Zea mays: one gene and its partners. The protein of the gene in region 1 binds, or shares a complex with, the protein of each later gene. Links are inferred from orthologs where the notes say so. Each region holds a gene or a part of one and is shown in the gene's direction. Other genes may lie near its edges.

Region 1 (6,828 bases):
TGCTGCGCGCAAGAGGTCAATGGGAAAAAAGGAATGGAAGATGGCGTCTCACTCCTTTCTCTCACGAGCTTGGGATTTGAGCCCTTTTCACCCCTGGAGAGTGGGGACTTTGAAAAAGAAAATAAAAACAAAAGAAAAAAAGTGACGGCCTTGGCGCATTCGCCGAATCATGCATGCATGCTAGATGGCTAGTGGAAGAAGTGTCTTGCCCGCTCGAGGTACTAGTAGTAGTTGGGATTAGGTTTGTGGGCTGCTGAGCTCGAGGCCCCCGCTTGACCAGTGTTTGGCTTCCTTGTCAACGATCTGTCTAGTCGTCCAGCCAGCCAGCCTCGGTGTCCACGCACAGCGCTACTAGTATACTCCAGTAATCTCACTGCTGCACCTGCGTCGCGCGCTCTGTCTGAAAGGTCACCTCGGTCCCGGTGAGTTTGGTGCGTGCATCCAGATCGAGGAAAAAAGTGACTGCAGGACACGGCCGACGTAGTACGCGTCAGTCAACAGGCCGGCCCACTGACTGTGTGTGTTTGTGTGTGTTTTGGAAGAGTTCAAGCTAAACGATGGTAATAATACTACAGTATTTATGAATAGCATGTCTGGTAGCTTTAACTTTGTCCCCTGTGTACGTACTGTATAGTACGCGCGCGTTGCCATACGGCCATAGTACGTACAGTACGTAGTAGTACTATATGCGTAGCGTATTCGACGACAGGCAGAGGCAGGCCTACCTAGCCAGTGTAGCATAGAGCACTGTAGGAATCAGGAACTGGAAAGAGCGCATATGCCGCAGTTAATGCCGGCCCAAACGAATGCCGCTGCAGCAAGCAGCCTTTGCTTGCAGGGAAAAAAAAGGATGATCCAGGAAGCTGCGCGCGGCGGGCCGGCGGCCTGCACTGCACCACGCCGCGCCGCAGGGCGCAGGCTGCCTTCGCTTCGCCTGGCCTCCTGTCCGGGATCCCGTCGCTGGACGTGCAGCCAGCATTGCATGCATGCATGCAGCCAGCAGGCGCTACCGCGCTAGGATACAGCACATCACAGCAGCAGCATTCACCGCCTCTAATTTTTTTTATGGGGGGTGCGTACAACAATTCCACTGGACCACACGAGCGACCCAGCGAGCGAGCAAATGCGATCTGCAGACGAGTTAGTAAATGCTCACATTCTGCCTCTGGTGTTTCTTGTTTCTGCCTTCTCTATCTCTGCAGCTGATGAGCCCTGCACTCCTGCGGTCCTGCCGATGCTTTTTTTATCAACCTCAGCTCCGGCCTGTTGCTGTTGCCACGAGCGAGAGCAATTGGCCTCGCCTTTTGAATTGCCTCCGATCCTCTCGTCGCCCCACGCTCATGCATCGCCCTGCCAAGCAGCAGGCAACCAGTACGGGCGGTGCATCCCGCCCTGTTGGCACGGCCGGCGCCGGCGGCCCGTCGGGTCCACTCACTCACCGATCGAGGCAGAGCAGCAGTACGTGGTAGATGGAGCACAGTAGAGCGTGTTGAGAACTACGTTACCACGGATCACCAAATCCGTCCTCTTCCCTCCCGTCAGCAGTAGATGCGCAAGAAGATGTAGAGAACCCGTCTCCTTCCCATAAGCACGACAGAGGAAACACACGAGACACTGAATATAGTTCTGATCTCTATTATGAGGTGGTGTACAAGTTGCTTATATAGAGATGTGAGACTCCTCAGGAGCAAAGCACGTATTTGCCTACATAACCCTAGAGCGAACCGGACCAGCGTTGCAGCTGTCACTCTACTTTTGCTCTGGGTCCGACCCACTGACTCAAAGCCCGACGAGCTAGGACGATCGTCGATGGTTCAGTGCACGTACGTTTGCCGTGGCACTCCCGCGCGCGCACGCCGCAGCCAACTCAACCGATGGATGGACGGTCAAACCAAGCAGGCGAACGGAGTCGGCAGCACAGCCACAGCGCTGAGTCACCTCCTCGCGTGCGTTTGCGTGCCGGACTAACGGGAGTTGCGTTGCGTGCACGTGTTTATTTGCTCTAATAACCGCGCACGCTTGGCGTCGCCGTACGTGTAACAGGAATTTTTTGCCACTAATGTGCATCTGCAAGTTTTGTCCTGTCGTAAACACCAGATGATGCTGCCGAACACGTACGAGTTGCGTTTAGGGAAAAAAATTTGTTGCAGCCCGGCTGCAAACCAGGCTGTTTGCAGCCCCTCACAAAAAGGTGGATAGGCCCCACCTGCAGGTCCACCAGATAACGTTTTAGTTGTATTATTTACCTGCGGGTGGGACCTATCCTCCTTTTTGTGAGGGGCTGCAAACAGCCTGGTTTGCAGCCGGGCTGCAACAAATTTTTTTCCTGCGTTTAGGGTTTTGGACGACGACGAAACATTGGCATCCGGGGGGGCTCGGAGGTCCCGTGCAGATCTCGTTCGCAGACAAATAAAAATATAACATGGGCCAAAATGCTCAAACGACACGTACGTACGCGTTTACAAGTATCTGTCTAGGATTCTGAGATATTTCTTCGACGATTCTGAGATACTTGATTTTTTTGCTGACATCTGTGTGCTAGCCCTGGTCCGAGCTCTATCTCCGTGTCCGTGGAATGGACTGGACAGGGACTCGGTGCAGCCGCATCCGCCCAGCGCTGGGGACCCTGAAGCCAAAGCGAACGGCCACGTGGCGCCTATCCGCGCGAATGGGACGGATGGATGAGGTTGCAGCAGCGTGTGGCCGCCGGCCAGTTCATCTGAGCCCAAAGAACTTCACAAACCAGTCCAGGGTCCTTTCTGCAATAACCTGAAGAAGCTACGATTATTATATTTATTCACTGGTAAAGCCCAGTGGAGAGCACACGCCTCTTCTCCCCCCCCAAAAAATCCAGCAGCAGCAGCAAGCCCCACGCAACATTAGCAGCAGGAGACCACCCCAATCCCCCACGGACATTCGCCGCGAACCCTTATCTGCACGCCGCGCCATGGCCGCCGCCGCCGCCGCCGCGGTCGCCCACCTCTCCATCCACGGCCGCCTCCGCCGCTCACCGGAGCATCGGCCGTCCATCACCACCACCACCACCTCCTCCTCTTCCTCGTCCGCTCACCGCCCGTCCCTGCTGCGGTGCCGCGCGTTCAAGCAGGAGGCCGGCGACGGCGACCCGGCTGAGGCCGACGCGCGGAAGCGCAGGAAGGGCCCGCTGTACAAGCTCAAGGCGGCGATCCAGGGCCTCGCGGGATCCCGCTCCGCCGCCGCCGAGGTGTACGGGGGAGAGTACCAGTACCAGCGCGCCGTCGAGAAGGCGGAGGAGATATTCTTCTCGGTGAGCACCGCACCGGCCTCCGCTCGCGAATCCTTGCGGCGTGCCCCCCACCCTCACCAGTCACCACGCTTATCTGTTTGCTCACACACACACCTGAATGAATTGCCTAACTATGCTGGAGTACTACTATCAGGAACGCAAATAAATGTCCAGTGCTCGCTAATTACAGCCTTAGTACCTTAAACCGTGGCATCATGAACAAACAAGGGTTTGTTCATTGTTGCATGTGATCCAGGCTTGCAGTCCACCATACCAAGTCGTATATTTCTCTTATTCCATTTCTCCTGTGCATAAGGGTTTCTTATATGTTTGCTGATCTCAGTCACCTTCTCGCAGGTTACTACTCAGCTAGGCAGATATGTTATCACTATGATGAGCAGCGGTGTTGTACTTGGGGTTGGATTCCAGCTGTCAGGTTTGCCATACGTTTATGCCTCTCGTTTCATTTCACTCTTGGCCTTTTCCTGAAATTCCAATTTAATTAGACGGACTATTTTTTTTAAACCCCTCACCCAGGTGGAGACAGCCAAATGAACGAACTAATTTGGTATAGCTGGCTTGGTGGGGTGATTATCGGCACAATGATAGGTGCAAACAGTGTCCTAGAGGAACACTGCAAAGCTGGACCTCGCAATGTCGTCATAACTGGAAGGTACCTTGTTTCCATCCTTCGTTCAAGATGCCTTCTGCAAAATTTTCCAGGACTCTGTATGCACCATTTTTCAATTTTCATTTATTAGCTGACTTGCCCTGTAAGAAAAGTATTGCACAGCATATTATTGATAGCATATGAAATCACTCTAGAAAACAGAAACTGTCGAGGTTAATGGATTTAGCTACTTAAGAAGGAAATAAAGTTTGGCTGTGTTTTTCAAGTTTTTGCAGTTTCACTGCTCACGGCCATTGGATAGGTTATTTCATACTGTTGTTTCTTATTTCGGCAATTAGCATTGACATCAGTTTTTTTTTTTTTGTTATAAAAAAATTCCAGCACAAGAGGGTTAGGAAAAGCGCTTGCTCGTGAGTTTCTTCTTTCTGGAGACCGTGTTGTAATTACTTCACGAAGGTGATATTCATGAGAACTTTAGTCTAGTTCTACAAGGTTTCATACTTTTTCCTTATGGAGCTTTATGCTTTATTTTAGTTTTAAATATTTTCTTTTTGTGATGGCAGTCCTGAATCAGTCCTTCAGACTATAAAAGAACTTGAAGAGAACATACAGGAAGGGTTATCTGTTGCCAAAAAGAAGCAGAGGAATATTCTATCGCATGCCAAGGTTGTTGGTACAGATTGTGATGTCTGTAAACCTGAAGATGTGAAGGAGTTAGTGAATTTTGCTATTAATGAGCTTGGTTCAGTTGATATTTGGGTAGGTAATTCATTACAGTTTTGTAGCTTAAATCTATATCTTATTTGGTCTACCTTTTGTTTTGCTAAAGAAATATTTAAGTAAAGTTGGATTATACAGAGTTTATAACATTTACATCAGTTGTGAAATGTACTTTATATATATGATGACATTAAGATAGATTTTGTGGTGCCCACTTTTATGCTTTTCTGTATGGTTCTATGGCTACATCAAAGAAGAATATTATTTACCACTTCTTCTCCAACCTTGTGTGCAGATAAATAACGCTGGCACAAATAAAGGTTTTAGGCCATTGGTAACCTTTTCAGATGATGACATCACTCAGGTTCGTTATTGTTATATTATGTTGTGTTTTTATCATTTTTTATGTATGTATCATTGATCAGAGGACCTGGCTTAATCATGCTACCTTATTTCCATCTTTTTATTAATTTATTCTGATCTATTTCATGTTGTTACAGATCGTCTCAACAAACCTAGTTGGTTCTCTACTGTGCACCAGAGAAGCCATGAATGTCATGCAATACCAAGAGAAGGGAGGCCATATATTCAACATGGATGGAGCAGGTTCTGGAGGATCAAGCACACCACTAACAGCTGTGTAAGCATCTTAGCTTTCGAATACTCTGTTGCTTCTTTATAGCTTCTACTGTATAGATGTGTGTTTTTTGTTGCTAAAACTTGAGTGTCCTGTATTGGAGTTCTTTATGTTATGAAGCGAGATCTGATGCTGAACTCAAATTTGTAGCTATGGTTCAACTAAATGTGGACTAAAGCAGTTCCAAGGATCACTTCTGAACGAAAGCAGAAGATCAAAAGTTGGAGTGCATACTGCTTCACCTGGTATGGTCCTCACAGACCTTCTGTTAAGGTAAGCTCTCCATACTTATCAGTTGTCATTATATGATTTGTAAAGGTCGCTGTGAACTTCATATACGTTGACTGTCTGATATAAGAATAATATTGCATTTGACTTGGCCCAAATGTTCATAATTTCTAAACTGCAGAGTATCGTGTAACAATTAACAATTTGAGGACACGGTTTGACTTTGTGCTTCTTTGCATACATATGCATAACACATCAAATGTCAAGCTGTGTAGATGTTTCTGAGATTACCTTGGCACAAATCGGCATAGTCTGGTGCTGTAGAATACTAGAATATATATTCCATAGCTATGTGAATTAGTTGTTTCTCTATATATGAAATTAATTAGTGAGACATGTTTTAGCTATGAGTCTACAACATGCTTAAATAAGTAAATAACTATGATAACAGAAAGACCAAACATAGCCTTAGTAGTTCTTGTCTAGTTTTGCTATATGTGTAAATGTGAATTACTTCTTTTGCAGACTACTCACCTATGATCTGATGAACCCTCTTACTGTGACATGTTGGAATCATGATTCTTCTTCTTTACTGACTACCTGTTTCTTTGCAGTGGTTCATCGCTCAGAAATAAACAGATGTTCAATTTAATATGTGAACTTCCAGAAACAGTAGCCAGAACTTTGGTTCCAAGGATGAGAGTTGTAAAAGGAAGTGGAAAGGCAATCAACTACTTAACACCACCAAGGATCTTGCTTGCTCTGGTTACTGCATGGGTTCGACGGGGTCGATGGTTTGACGACGAGGTACACAGATCTAGTTATTTTATACTAAATACTAACTTACACGTAGGAATCCAATAGTGTCAGTTGTCCTAGGTTTATATTTTATTTAGTAATATCAATGGTTAGTAGTAGATGTGTTTGAATAATTTTTTGCACTATACCATTGCTCCTTAGAGCTTTAATTGCTGCCAGCTGCTTGTGCCCTCGTAACTATACAGCGATTGTTTAGGGTGTCCTGCCATAGCATACTGAAGTTTATATTAATTTTCTCTGCCTTTTATTGTGCTCTGAGTCATATGATCAATCATTTATCCCGTTATTACAGGGAAGAGCGGTGTATGCAGCTGAAGCTGATAGAATTCGCAACTGGGCTGAAAGTCGAGCACGCTTCTCGTTCACCGACGCCATGGAGATGTACACGGAAAACACATGGGTTTCCGTATTCTCGCTCTCGGTGGTCTGTGCGTTCATAATCCTCTCTAGCTCCGGTGGACCTCTTCCAGGCACATGATTTCCAGAGCTGTCAAACTACTAGTAGACGGCCATGCATATGCTCATTTT
Region 2 (6,828 bases), on another chromosome or scaffold:
TTAAACACCAAAAGTGGTGGACGGTCTAGCCCTAGGGCCCGATGATTCGCGCCCTCACGGTTAGATTAACTTAAACGATTTTACTTATCTTGTGTTTGATTATCCATTTAATCACATGGGATATGCTGGTTATCGCTTAGGAACGGGTCCATACATCCCTTATATATGAAGGGATACTGACGATTGAGAACCCTGAACACATTCCAATCGAGCCAATCTATTTACCTGCATTTATCTTTCATGCCTTAAGAGTAGATATAGTGTAGCCTTAGTTTAAATCTATTTGTGGCCTACCACAACTATCTCTCTTTTACTCTATGCTCTGACCATAGATGTCCCGGGTGGCCTGCGGATTCCGGGGCACTCCTTGTAACTCTCCCCCCTAATGGGATTTCTCCCGAGGGGCGAGTTTTAGGGTTCTTCGTGGAGAAAACGACCCTCTGCGCCATTGCGGATCATCAGGTCCAGGGTACGGACCGTCCGACCAGCACGCATGGAAGATCTGCTCCCGCAGCAGGGCCGCAGATATTCCGTGTTGCCGCCGGAAGCACCGTCAGGCGATCCGGTGACTGTAAGTGCAATCAACCCTAATTGAGGGTTTTGGTGATTAAATGACAAAACAAACAGAGATTCTAACAAGTTTGCTCCTAGCATGTACACAGTTATTCTACAGACAGGAGAAGCACAGATCTTATGAGCATAAAAATGTAAAGCACAGCGGATTTAAATTCTACATCATATGGCATGCTCCAAGTGCTTGGAAACAACGACAGTGTTCATTTTATAATTCTTGAGTTATAGGAATCGTCGTTCAATTAAGAGGGATCCGCGATGGTTCAAAATCCTTCAAAATCATCTTAGAGAACACTTTTCCAGATCATGAATACCTTTGTGAAAAACCATTTTCTCTTCCCACAAGAGTTCCACCTTTGTTCACTTCAAAATGTTCAAAACTTGCTCTTCAGCCTCTGAAACCGGTTCAACCGGACCTGAAACCGATTCAACCGGTTTTTGGACTGTTTCTCTGCCACCCCTGCTTTGACTGTCTGACAGTCATAGCTGTCAGAAAAATCGTTGCAGATATTTTTGTGAAACCGGTTCAACCGAAATTTTTCCCGACTCAACCGGTTTTGGATCCGGTCGAGTCCCCGGCTGAGTAGATCAGTGAACCGAGATCTTCCTGGTGGAAACCGGTTTACAAACCGGTTCAACCGGTTTACAAACCGGTTCAACCGGTTTTGGCTCTTTTCTCCCAACGGCTGCCAGCTTTTTGGGGATCCTTTAAATCCCGCCACACTCTCTCTCTTCATTACTTCTGCTCTCTCCACGATTTCTCAGCTGACCAAACTCCAAACAAGGGCATTCAATTCACATCTCACACCCGAAATCGCATCTCCTTCAATCGCTTGAAGGATCCTTGGTGTGAGGTGAAGTCGATCTAACGCGCTGTCAATTTCATCTTGATTCTCCCATTCTCTTTGTTCTTGAGCTCATTGCAAACTTAACCTTGTGCGGATTTGTTACTCTTGGAGCCTTGTGCTCCTTGACAGTTAGAGGTTGCTTGGGAGTCTCCAAATTTGTGGACGACCCCAAGAAGTTTATATTACCCGCTCTTTGAGCAAATTTGAGAAGAGATTGCCTTGACCTTTGTGGTCGGCTTGTGGAGGATTAGGGTTGGAAAAGACCCGGCCCTTTGTGGGCTCCTCAGCGAGGAGTAGGACACCTTTGTGGTGGTTGCCGAACCTCGGGTTAAATCGCATGTTCTTGTGCGTTCTTGTCAAGTGCCTAAAATTGTTGGTTGTTTTATATTCATTTATTTGAGTGGATTTTCTGTAGGGAAAGTCATTAGCAAAATCTTTCACTACTTCGTCATATTAGTTTAACTGATTATTTAATCTAAGTTGAGCAGGTTCAAACTTGTTCAGTTGTAAACAAAATCAACTGAACCGGTTTGCACCAGTGCAACTTTAATTTGACATATCTCGAAGTTTTTAGTGAAAAATTTCAGGTGTAGCCTATTCACCCCCTCTCTAGGCTACTTTCAGTGACCTGTCATGGACCGTCATCGCTGTTCACGTTGCAGAGCCGAACCCAAAGTATTGCTCGTCACGAGAAGTGACTAGGCTTCATTGGTGTTTGGTTTTAAATAGATGGTGGTCATCATAGAGGTGGTGTACTATAAATCAGCGATAGAGATAAAGTTCAAGACCGCATCCGAGATAGTGTTATTTATTTTACATCTTATCTACAATCTCGCTTCGGTCATTAGTAATTGGCGCCCAAATTAGGTCCAAGACACTCCTTCACACATTTTGCCTTTTTAAACGCAATAAAAAATATGGACCTTCCGATTTTCCGAACTATCCTCCAAGTTATTAGAGTTAATAGATAATCGTGGCTGGGCAAAATACTCGTGGCTCGTGAGCTCGCTCGACTCGTGGCCAGCTCGGCTCGACTCGACTCGGCTCGTTTCAATTTTATCACGAGCTGAGCTAACATCTCAGCTCGGTTCGTTAACGAGCCAGCTCGACACGAGCTCGAGCCAGCTCGTTAGCTCGAATGAGCTAGCATTTATCTGTAAAACAAAGCCTATACTTGTATTAGATGAATTAATAAGTGATGAACTATGTTAGTTTACGGTTTAGATGATGTGATATATAAAATTATGAGTATTGTTAGTCTTTTCTAGTGTTAAATTAGTATGAAATTAACTAGCAATTAATTATATTGTTGTATATATACATGTATAATATTTTTTGTTCTGGCTCGCGAGATAAACGAGCCAGCTCGAGCTCGCAAACGAGCCGAGCCGAGCTGATTCTCTGGCTCGGTTGCTTAACGAGCCGAGCCGAGCCAGCTCGTTTCCTTAACGAGCCAGCTCGAGCTCGGTCGAGCCGAGCCGAGTGGCTCGATATCCACCCCGATAATCACGTAAATTCTTTTTTGTGCGTGCATTGGCGATAGCGCTGCCTCCTCTTTGTAGCTGCTACCTGCTAGTTCTCACGTCACTGTAGTCTGTAACGTCGTCTTCTTACTCCCCCTATCCGACGCCGGGACAGGAATCAGCTTCCCCTCCATGCTCCGGCTGGAGCAATATCTCCGGTTGCTGCCGGCGACCAGCCACGCTACAGCGCCCGCGTTGATCTCGGGTTACTCTTTCCTCTCCAGTCCTCTCCCTCGCCTCAGTGCCCTCCGGCTAGCCCGCTCGCGGCCTCCCCCGCTCAGGGGCAAAACGTCGAGCCCCGTGCGCGCCTCGGCGGAGCCGGATTCTACGGTAAAGCGCGCGCCCGAGATGGCCCAGAGGGAGGTGGCGCGGGTGGTCGCGGATCAGGCGGTGGCGCGTTTGGGCGCGCGGCTGCTGCCGTCCGCCGTGCCTGCCGACGTCGTCGAGTTTCGCAACGCCGCCGGGAACGCCGTCGGCTCGCTCGACGTGCAACGGGGCTCTCCTGGCTCGTCGGTACAGTTCAATAGTGATCCTATTTTTTTTTTTCTTGTGGTAGTACCGTACCATGTTAGTATAATACAGCTTTCGTGTGGTTGCATACCAAAAGATAAGGGCATACTACTATACTGCTCTGTGCGTAATACGGTTATGGGATCTCCAGTATGACTCGGAATCGGCACATCATGCATTCCACCATTTTTCCTTGGTATATAGTACTCAAATACACACATCACCCCATATATGGCATCTGTATTGAATACCAAAAAATGGCTTGTGTTTCAGTTCAGTATGGTTTGGTGCACTTGCTGACCGCCTACTTCTCGCCAATTGGATAATTGTTGTCCACTGATCCATTCAAGGTGAATTGTCAAAGTTTTAGATGGAAATATTGCTAATGCAACTCTATCAAAGCATCTTGTCAATTGTAGGTTACTAACAGTTCTCCATTTGAGTCCCTTAGATTATTGTTGTGACTTGTGAGACTGCCGAGTTCCAGATAAAGAAACTGGCAATGATCCGTCCCGTGATTTCCAAAACTTAAACTGTAATCGCAGTCCAATCTGAATATCACTGTCATATATGTTGTTGTCCTTGAGCTGATAGTTCAATCTTAATATGTGATTTCAGTCATTGAAAACAGCAATGTCGTCGAGGATGGAAGAAAGCTTGCATTAACATGCTTCCTGTTTGCTACTGCTGTAAGATGTAGTAAAAAGAAACGATGACAGGACCTGATGTGCGTTTCCTCCTTGTCTACAGATTGATTTCATGCTGCAGTCCTCGCTTCACTGTGAAGTCCCGAACGGTGCCATTGACATCACCTCAATTCTCATTTTCCTGAACGCCTCGACGGACGCACCACATTTCCTACTGGAGCTCATACAAGGCAGCTCAACTTCAATGGTGGTGATTCTGGACCTGCTTCCACGGAAAGACCTCGCGTTTCACCCGGACTACCTGCAGAAGTACTACGAGGAAACTGGAATGGATGAGCAGCGCAGAAAGATCGAGGAGCTACCGCAGGCTCGTCCATACAGATCTCCGTCACTCTTCGTGCGCAGCGCATGCTCGCCTACAGCAATAATGGTGAGCATTGACTGTGGACAAGGGGGTGAGAAAGCCTTGGAAGAGATAATACATGGACAGTTAGCAAAGGTCATTCAGGAGGCTCTTCAGACTTGGCTTGACAACTGTGTTGATTCCACCATAGAGATGGATGAGGCGGAGAGGGACTGCCTGCTCAAGAGGGACCGGATTGTAAGGTCGAAATCGATAGAGGTTGACCTGACTGCAAACCTTCCCAGGATGTTTGGTCCGGATGTGTCTAGTCGGGTCATAACTGAAATCCGCAAGGCCTTTGGTGTACAAGAGCCGTAAGTCGTTCATAAATACAAGCATGTAGTTACTTTATTGTAGAGAAAAATTGTTGTGAGTCCATGAAACCCCCTTATTTGAACAATCGAAAGTATATGTGCTAAAGTTGTGTATATATTACTACCAAGTGCTAACTGAGATGATGAAAGTGAGCTATGCAGGTGAAGATGATCAGTTGTTAGGACCAGGTTTCCAGGAACAGTCTCTCATCACAGAGTTCCTAAGCCGTTCCTGTCTTCCTGATGCTAACATACCCAATAAGCATAAGAATTAGCTCTGCCTAAAAAGGAGGTACTGAATGGCGGTGTGTTTTGCTGCATCTTGTTTTATGTATATAAAACTTTGGTGTATATGGTGTACATATTAAAAAAATATCCATCCATGTTAGATCTACTATCCTTTGCCGCTGTATGTATTTTGCAAAGAACACTCTCCATCACCATTTTTCGCAATGTTCGGATATGGCATCATAATAGTATTATGTGTACCTGATATGTTCAAATGACAACTACAACCAGGTTGTTCCGTGTTCAAGCGAAACTGTGGCGAGCTAGCATAGCAGCAGCCACTCCTGAGCTCGGATGCACATGATGATGGTAACAAGTAATGTTCGATAATATCGGTCCTATGAAATTTGTTTTGATCCCGGAGGGGGGGGGGGGGGGGGGGGTCAAACAAGTAGCTACTGTCTTGTGCGTATCTGGACGTTGCATAGTTCGTGACGGCCGTTCGGGTTTATGCATTTGCTGGACTTTACATCAGTAACTTTTGGACTTTGGCGATAGGATGAAAATCTGTTTCAGAATGAAATTCACGTATGTATACAATTGTGCACGATAATACGTCAAGGAAATCCCTGGATTAAAACAAAGTGACACGTTGCGGTGTGCCTCATTGCATGGACGAGTTTTTCTCTATTTTTTGAATTGAATGCGTGAATTCAAACATTCAGCTTAAAGTAGTAAACTAATCAGAGCAGTAAAATGTTTGAGGATAAGATGTCCGAGTATCTCATCTTCCAAGTACAAAAGGAAATGAGAGTTCCAGCCGAAATGAGTTCATAGTTACTTTGGGATTGTCATGACATTGGATCCCGTCTTCCTCCTCACAGGAGACAAGGAAAAAAAAAAAGAAAGAAAGGCAACCGCAAAGTTATAACAAAGGCTACCCCAAAGTCTCGGCAGCTTGAAGGCAAAGTAGTAAATATGAGACCGAAAGCAAAAAGGCTTGAAGGTAAAACTGCAAATTGGGAATCCAGGCTTCAAACAGATATTTGAATTTAACGAGTGCCTCAGATGGACGCTTTGGAAGTGCATATCACCATGCCTGTGCACCAGAACATTCATCCAGAATTCACCAATTGCGTGAATCATCACCGGCACGTACGCAAACCACCACGGGGCGAGAGTAAAAAAAAAAACAGAGAGAGAGGGACTAACTCCAAACATATCGTGCTGCAGCTGCAGATCGGCCGGGAGACGAATTACGGCATGCAGAATCCTAACAATCACGAACTGGAACAGAAACAAACAGATTGGATGTGCAATAACCCCGCCAGAAGGAGATGAAGCAAGAACAAGACAGCATAATAGATATGCCACGAAAAAGCACGGCTCCATTCCAGTTCCAAACGTGCGGTGGTGGAGAGGCGGACCTGGAAGCCTGCTACTGGTAGTGCTAGGCGGTATGGTATGGCCTCAATAAATAGTCTGGCGGGCGCGGGATGGATCACGGACGGCCGAGATTGACATGGCCACATAATGGGCCTCGACCATGACCACAGCCGCGTGCCGCGTGCCCGTCGTATCAGCAACAGCGGAAGCAGAGAAACGATGCAAGGATAATCCATGTCTACAATGTCAAATACAACTTGCTCTATTCTGATGTTGTGCACATAGCCGAAAGTGATTAACATTGTTATTTTTCCCAGTGTCACTATCTACTTTCCTCCGAAGCTACACAGGGGTGTGTTGCATCTGTCTGAAGGCTTTTGCAAAAATAATGTCTGC
Region 3 (6,828 bases), on another chromosome or scaffold:
AGTTGGGTGACTATCAGGGGCGTATTGTGGTCAAGTAAAGAAAATAAACGAACTTGAGGTTATCTTTTACCCTTTGTTATATTCTTTTTGGCGGAAACCCTCTTTTGACACATGATCTATATATTTTCATTTGTTATATCCATCTATTCCTTGCAAGGAACTTCAATGCAGGAGTGCCTTGACTTCCTCATGTCTGCCATATTTACAATTGCATCATATATAGCATTGAAATTGCTCTGGGTTGATACAACAAGTATCATGCTTCATGTTTGTTAGGGCGTTGTTTCCTTTCAGTGCATTGTGTCCCTTTCTCGGGGTGGAGGTAGCATAGAACATGTGTTTTTATTATGCAATGTCATGGTGGTAATCCTATGTCAGATCTATGAATTAGTGTTTACAGCCATATTTAAACTACACTTCGATAATATCATATTTTTTATCAGTGGACATGAATAGTGACATGCTTCATGCTAATCCCTGTACAATTCAATAGACCGGTTCTAGGATCAGTACAGAATCATCAATATCATCCGCGAAGGAATTGATAAGGGAATTTGCATCGATTATCTGAAAGCTCAAAAAGGGAGAAGAAAACTCTTAAGACGGAACTTTCATATGTGAAAGAAGACCTATCCAGATCTTCTTCCAAAAATAATGCTGAGGTTCATATGTTTATACTATTGCAATATCTATTTGTGGTTGCCTGTTCACTCATCTATTTTAAACATTTGAGGTTAATATGAGATCAGATAGTACTGCTCACCCTAGATTCTTTTCTTATCCGTCTCCGCATAGCAAAGAAACTAACCGAATCAGAGCAAAGAGATTGCACGAAGGAGGGGGCACCGGAGCAGCGACAACAGAAGAGAGATCACCAGGGTCGCTTGCCTGTCTGAGAGAGGAAGACAACAAGAGATGGACGAGATCATGAACAAGGTGGGTGTTTACTGGATGGGGCCACCGGCCAACAAGGAGATCTCGGCAGGCGACGACCTTGAAGTCTGTGAGACAAAACCATCCCATCCCTGCTCTTTCTTGTAGCTCATCAATTGTTCGGTTTCTTTTTGTTCTAGCATCGTCTAGCATTCACACGCAGCCTGTTTGTCCCTGCGCCCTCTCATGAATAGACCAGCTCAAAGTTAGAACAATCATGGATGGATCGGTTAGTGATTTTAAAAGTTAGAGCATCCATGAATGAATAACTCCGATCTCTGTAATTTGTTTATCTTGTCAGGTTTTTACCCTTTGTTCCCCCTAATTCAGATGGGGGGAACAAAGGGAAAAACGCTTGTGCCCTTGTCTTGTCTCTTCTTTGCTGATTGCGTCGCTGATGTTTCCTAGCTCTAACTACATGCAGTCACTCTCGACCAGCGTCGGGGATGGAGTGGAATGGCTGGTGAAAAAGTTGAAGGGCAAGATGCAGAAGCCACTGGTGGACCTGCTTAGCACAACCTCCCTGTGGGTATGTTCCCATGCGAGAATACCAACTACGAGTTCCCGTTGTCTCTGAGTTGTGGTTTGACGCCACGGTGTCAGGTATGCTAGGCGAGGGCCGCCTCACGTGAAGGTGGACAGGATCAAGACCAAGGTGCTCATCTCGGCTAGGGTCACCATTGTTAAGGCCGCCGCTGCCAAGGTCTACTTCACTATGAGGATCAAGTGGTCGCGCAACGGGACGCCTATGAACAAATGTGTTTGCTGCACACCGAGATGGACAAATGGTTGCTTTCAGTTGCAGGAATAAATTCTGCAGTCATTAGCTACCTGGGAGATCTGTGTGCATTGTACATCATGTGTTTTGTGCTTCGCTGTGAGAATGTGTAACACATGGAAGGATTCAGAATCTGTGCCCATTGCATATGATATATGTCTCGTGTCAGATTTTAACTACAAAACATCTGAAGCAGAGCTCGAGTTAGCTCAAACAATCTATCAGATTTTAAACTGAAGAGTGAAATAACATGCGAGAGATGAGTTCACTGGCAAGCTATTGCTCCATATATACGTGGTGGACTGGAATCGCGTGATGTGTGCTGATAGATTCTGCTAAGGCAAAAAAGAATGCTTAGTTTTTCTGGTTTCAACGTAGATCATCTTTACCACTTTATGAACAAATTAGATAAAATTACTACTTTATGCAAAAATTAGGTACAATTACACATAAATAGTGGTCATCTTTACCACTTTATGAAAAAATTAGATAAAATTACTACTTTATGCAAAAATTAGGTACAATTACACATAAATAGTAGTTTGGGCCTTTATTGGATTTACATCCACACCCATCTAACCAACAGAAGATATATATTTTGTGTTTTGTAAAACAAAGTCTATCAATAGGTAGTGGTTTGAATATTTGTTTGTTGTACATCCACCTTCATCTAACCAACAGAACCCACATGTTTTCGTGATTTGTTAAAATAAAGTCTAATTGTTTGATATATAGAAACCGTAACAACGCACGTGCAATTAGCTATAATAAGATTACATATTTATCTCGCCAATATAATAGTTTTACAGTGATATTTTGCCACATAGATTTTGCATATCATAATGTTGTTTATCGTTTCGTATCTATGTTTTATACTATTTTTTTTACTTTCGTAGCAACGCATGGGCATGAACCTAGTCATATATATGATCGCGTAAAAAATTATTTTATATTGTATACTACTGTTTATAAGAGTTAAGTTTAAAATAGCGGTTGAGATATGAGATATGATGAGTAAGGTGTTGAAGACAATCTAAGAGTACGGATCGTCGTCCCACCAAAAGGAGGGACTACGAAGTAAAAAAATACATATATGGGCGGCATAATTTCTGTTAACTTTTTATCCGGGGTATAGTGTTGAATTTTGAATATTTTTAAATATGAAAACCAAAAAGATGCACTATGCATCGATGGGTGGACATTTTGCAGGCTCCGAATTTTCCTCAAAGGGTGGACATGAGCCGAAATTCATGAGGTGGCCCAGTAACAGTAGTTTCTCTTAAAGGCTCAAGGCATGACTCCTCCATCTCCACTCGATCCTCCGTCTTATCACCGGTGAGGTACTGAGGTGAGACGATCTCCGCCACCATGGCCTCCAGCACCTCCCTCTCCCTTTGCTTGCACGCCTCGTCGCCCTCGTCCTCGTCTCCTGGACTCCGCCGACCCTCCCTCGCCTCCTCCTCGTCCTCCAGGTCCGAGAGAACGCGCAAGATCAGGGCCAAGGCGGTCAGGGAGGACTGGAGGCAGAAATCCAAGCCCATCCCTCCTGGCGCCGTCTACCCTGCCAAGGACCACTGCAGGTATATGCCTGCTGTGCTGCGCATTTCTTTGTTTGTTTGTGTGTTTATGTGATGCGAATATGCGATGCTTACCTCTGTTCCTATTTCTACTCGTATGGCGATTCAAGCCGTTGTGGGCTCTGCGACACATACTACGTTGCGCATGTCAAGACTGCCTGTGCCTTCCTGGGAGACGGCATGTCCCGTGTCGAGGTCACCTCCCTTCATCTTCGCATCACATCACCTGCCTAGAACGGCTCAAACAGTTTGCTGAATGAAAACAAAAATGATCGTCTGATGTTTGATCAAGCCATGGGCTGCAGTGCTGCACGCAGTTACTCCCTCCGTCGAAAGTTATAGTTCAACTTTTCTAACTCTGACCAAGTTCATAGAGACCATCTACAATATCAAAATGATTTCATCAATTTCTTCGTGAAAAATGTCTTGATAGTTTATTTGAACATATACAGAGGGAGTATATTTTTTTATAAAATACTTAGGTCAAGTCAAAGTTAAAAGAAGTTTTGATTTAGAATAAAGCTAAAGTGAACTATAATTTAGACCGAGGGAGTAGTAATGCTCGACATGAATTCTACACTTTGTTTCAGTGAAATAAAGCGGGGAACTCTCCTGTTTCCTAAAAAAAGTTGACACAAATTTACAGATGCCAACACTCTCCTCACTATATTTAGGATCTTGAGCGACAAGTCCACGGGAGAGGCCGGAAGGAAGGCATGGATGAAATGTACTTTGGAGTCTATGACCAACTCTTGTATGCCAGGAAGACCGAACCTGTTGAAGGTACTAATTACCTTTTACAAGTTGTTCTTATCCTTCAACAACCGCCTGCATCCATCTAAGGAAGCACACATATGCAATATACCAGTCTTGTTCACTGCCCTTCCATAACAAACCGAAACCACATACACCTCGAATGTTGCATCTTATTTCCTACACTATCTTGATATACTCAACAAACCTTTGTTAGACAAAACTGTACCCTGACGACTTATGTTTTGTACCCTGTAACATATATGTGCCTCACATGCAACAGGAGCCCAGTGGACGGGAATAGTGACAACAATCGCTGTCGAGATGCTGAAAGCAAACATGGTTGATGCTGTGGTTTGTGTACAAAGGCACCCAAACAAGAATCAAATGCCACATCATTCTTTCTCAGTGCTATGCACAAGCATTACCACATGGATTCAAATAATGTTTTTTACCCCCTCTGCAGTGATCCTGACGACAGGCTTGCTCCAAGACCTGTTTTGGCCAGGTATTGTGAAACTGATGGCTTTCAGAATTGTCCTTTATGGCTTGTGTATAACACTCCTTGACTGGATATACTTTTGCAATTCCAGACTTTCTGTAACTATTTTGAGCTTAAACTTTTGTTATCAGTCCATCCATGAATTACTCATGCTAATCATTATGTCCCTTGATTTCTAGAATGGAAGTGACATTTAATCTCAGTAGCCATGCTCTTGTAGGACACCAGACGAAGTAATTGCAGCCAAAGGTGTGAAGCCAACATTATCACCAAATCTCAATACACTTGCCTTAGTCGAGGTAAGTCGCTCCTTTTAACTCTATACTTCCCATGCCCCCTTATTCTTGATGCAAGCTATGGTGCCATGCCTCCTTTCCCTTTCTTATAACATATAGAAGTAATAATGGGTCATATCAGCAGATCTCTGAGAGTCAGAGAGAATCAGCTGTCCTAATATTAATTTAGGGTTAATTGATCCAGATATTCGTTCCCATTTCCCAATTCAAGAGAATTAGAAGTAGTTCAATTATATTTGAATTTGTTGCTTGGCAAGACCGCAAATGTAATTCTATTAGCCTATTAAATCTGGAGTAGCCCCACATTCTAGTGGGTTCCAAAGCCTATTCCAATCATCCCTCCAACCATAACAATACATATGATATCCTATAGTGACCAGTTTATAAATCCAGAGAGTTTCACAGTTTCCTTTGGCAGGCAGCTGGTGTAAAGCGGCTTCTTTTCTGCGGTGTGGGCTGTCAAGTGCAAGGTCTTTTCCTTTACCTGGCCTTTCTTCTCTTTCTATTGCTGATGTTTTATCAAATGTAAAAGTAAAAGTTGCTAAAGTTATTGTTTGAACTACAGCTTTGAGATCTGTAGAAAAGTACCTTGGTTTGGAAAAGCTTTATGTGCTTGGAACAAACTGTGGTAATTTCCATTTCTCCTCTCAAACCAGTCAATATTTACATTTTCTGTCGTGGAAGATAATATTGTAGCTCTAACATACTGTATTTTTCTTAGTTGACAATGGTACGCGTGAAGGGCTTGATAAATTCTTGAAAGCGGCAAGCAGTGAGCCAGAAACTGTTATGCATTATGAATTTATGCAAGACTATAAGGTATGACATTGAAATAATTAGCTGCATACATTCTTTTTCCCACATTGGTAGGTTCATGTATGGATAATCAATAGGATAGGAATACAGTTTTCCATATCAACAGCTCAAGGAGCAGTTTTAGGATCAACACAAGAACACATGGCATTTACAGAATTGCCATGATTTTCCTTAGATTTTTTTTATGTATGATCACATTGTATAACTGAGAATATTTACAGGTGCATCTAAAGCATTTAGATGGGCACATTGAAGAGGTAAATATTTGTTTGCCAATAATTCTGAGGCTTTATGGATTCTACAATGGAACTATTTAAGTCAGGGCCTAATTTTTGCAGGTTCCTTATTTTTGCCTGCCAGCAAACGACCTGGTAGATGTTATTGCACCGTCATGCTATAGGTATTCTCTATTCAGTATATCGGGTTGTTAGTTTCTTTTCCAAAACTTTTATTGGCCGTTCACAGGTGAGCTAATGATTTGCTTATACCAATTGCAGCTGCTTTGACTACACAAATGGCTTGGCGGTAAGGTTTCCATCATTTTGAATTTGAATAGGGTCCCTTGTTTTGAATAGGAACTTTCTTTCTAGTGCTCATCTGCACAAATAGACAGAAGTTGTACTTCCTAGTGCTCATCTGCACAAATAGAAATGATTGGATCACGTGTCGTTTAGAAAAGATGGAATAATCCTGAAACACACTAGACTGAATCATCTATGTGTTGCATGACGTGGACTGTGTCGTTCTTATTATTACGCACTAACATAGCTGAACTAATTCTCTTGACCTCGAGTTGCCTGGGTGCCTCTTCAACCTTCATGTTCAGAATAGCATTTGTTGTGAGATATCATCTGTTATCTTGGTATATGTCTTCAGTCTGCTCTCTTGGAGCAGACAAACAGCTCAGAGTCACTATGTTGTTTGGTTAAATGTCTGCAGGATTTAGTGGTGGGGTATATGGGAGTACCGAAATATGCTGGGGTCTCCATGACACAGCATCCTCAGTACATTACAGTCAGGTAGAGCGAGTAGGATTGTGCAATTATATTGTAAACAGTACCCTGGTGAGCATCATTGGAACTCTATCCCTTCAGGAACGATCGTGGACAGGAGATGCTGAACCTGGTAGCTGGCCTTCTGGAAAGCACACCTACAATTAGCAGTGTACGCATG

Evidence for each region. Proteins that work in one complex are often made in the same cells at the same time.
Region 2: Probable chlorophyll(ide) b reductase NYC1, chloroplastic (region 1) and uncharacterized protein LOC100272914 share a complex: the UniProt entries of both Arabidopsis thaliana proteins name them as parts of the SGR1-CCE-LHCII complex. The link is inferred for Zea mays from reciprocal best matches to the Arabidopsis thaliana genes NYC1 and ACD2.
Region 3: Probable chlorophyll(ide) b reductase NYC1, chloroplastic (region 1) and 7-hydroxymethyl chlorophyll a reductase, chloroplastic share a complex: the UniProt entries of both Arabidopsis thaliana proteins name them as parts of the SGR1-CCE-LHCII complex. The link is inferred for Zea mays from reciprocal best matches to the Arabidopsis thaliana genes NYC1 and HCAR.

The regions. Positions count from the first base shown.
Region 1 is NC_050098.1:2,268,741-2,275,568, reverse strand, and holds the start of Probable chlorophyll(ide) b reductase NYC1, chloroplastic, read left to right. Parts: upstream 1-2,782; 5' UTR 2,783-2,947; coding exon 2,948-3,286; intron 3,287-3,622; coding exon 3,623-3,701; intron 3,702-3,802; coding exon 3,803-3,938; intron 3,939-4,277; coding exon 4,278-4,352; intron 4,353-4,459; coding exon 4,460-4,655; intron 4,656-4,911; coding exon 4,912-4,980; intron 4,981-5,116; coding exon 5,117-5,256; intron 5,257-5,403; coding exon 5,404-5,526; intron 5,527-6,095; coding exon 6,096-6,288; intron 6,289-6,592; coding exon 6,593-6,778; 3' UTR 6,779-6,828. UniProt on the Arabidopsis thaliana protein: Involved in chlorophyll b degradation. Belongs to the chlorophyll catabolic enzymes (CCEs).
Region 2 is NC_050096.1:144,515,543-144,522,370, reverse strand, and holds uncharacterized protein LOC100272914, read left to right. Parts: upstream 1-3,064; 5' UTR 3,065-3,076; coding exon 3,077-3,457; intron 3,458-4,204; coding exon 4,205-4,822; 3' UTR 4,823-4,980; coding exon of another isoform or gene 4,981-4,984; 3' UTR 4,985-5,213; downstream 5,214-6,828. UniProt on the Arabidopsis thaliana protein: Catalyzes the key reaction of chlorophyll catabolism, porphyrin macrocycle cleavage of pheophorbide a (pheide a) to a primary fluorescent catabolite (pFCC).
Region 3 is NC_050096.1:206,309,367-206,316,194, forward strand, and holds the start of 7-hydroxymethyl chlorophyll a reductase, chloroplastic, read left to right. Parts: upstream 1-2,975; 5' UTR 2,976-3,079; coding exon 3,080-3,291; intron 3,292-3,398; coding exon 3,399-3,483; intron 3,484-3,962; coding exon 3,963-4,071; intron 4,072-4,324; coding exon 4,325-4,409; intron 4,410-4,507; coding exon 4,508-4,549; intron 4,550-4,763; coding exon 4,764-4,842; intron 4,843-5,257; coding exon 5,258-5,309; intron 5,310-5,404; coding exon 5,405-5,467; intron 5,468-5,560; coding exon 5,561-5,658; intron 5,659-5,876; coding exon 5,877-5,912; intron 5,913-5,993; coding exon 5,994-6,055; intron 6,056-6,152; coding exon 6,153-6,180; intron 6,181-6,594; coding exon 6,595-6,674; intron 6,675-6,749; coding exon 6,750-6,819; intron 6,820-6,828. UniProt on the Arabidopsis thaliana protein: Probable iron-sulfur flavoprotein that converts 7-hydroxymethyl chlorophyll a to chlorophyll a using ferredoxin as a reducing equivalent. Catalyzes the reduction of a hydroxymethyl group to a methyl group. Belongs to the chlorophyll catabolic enzymes (CCEs).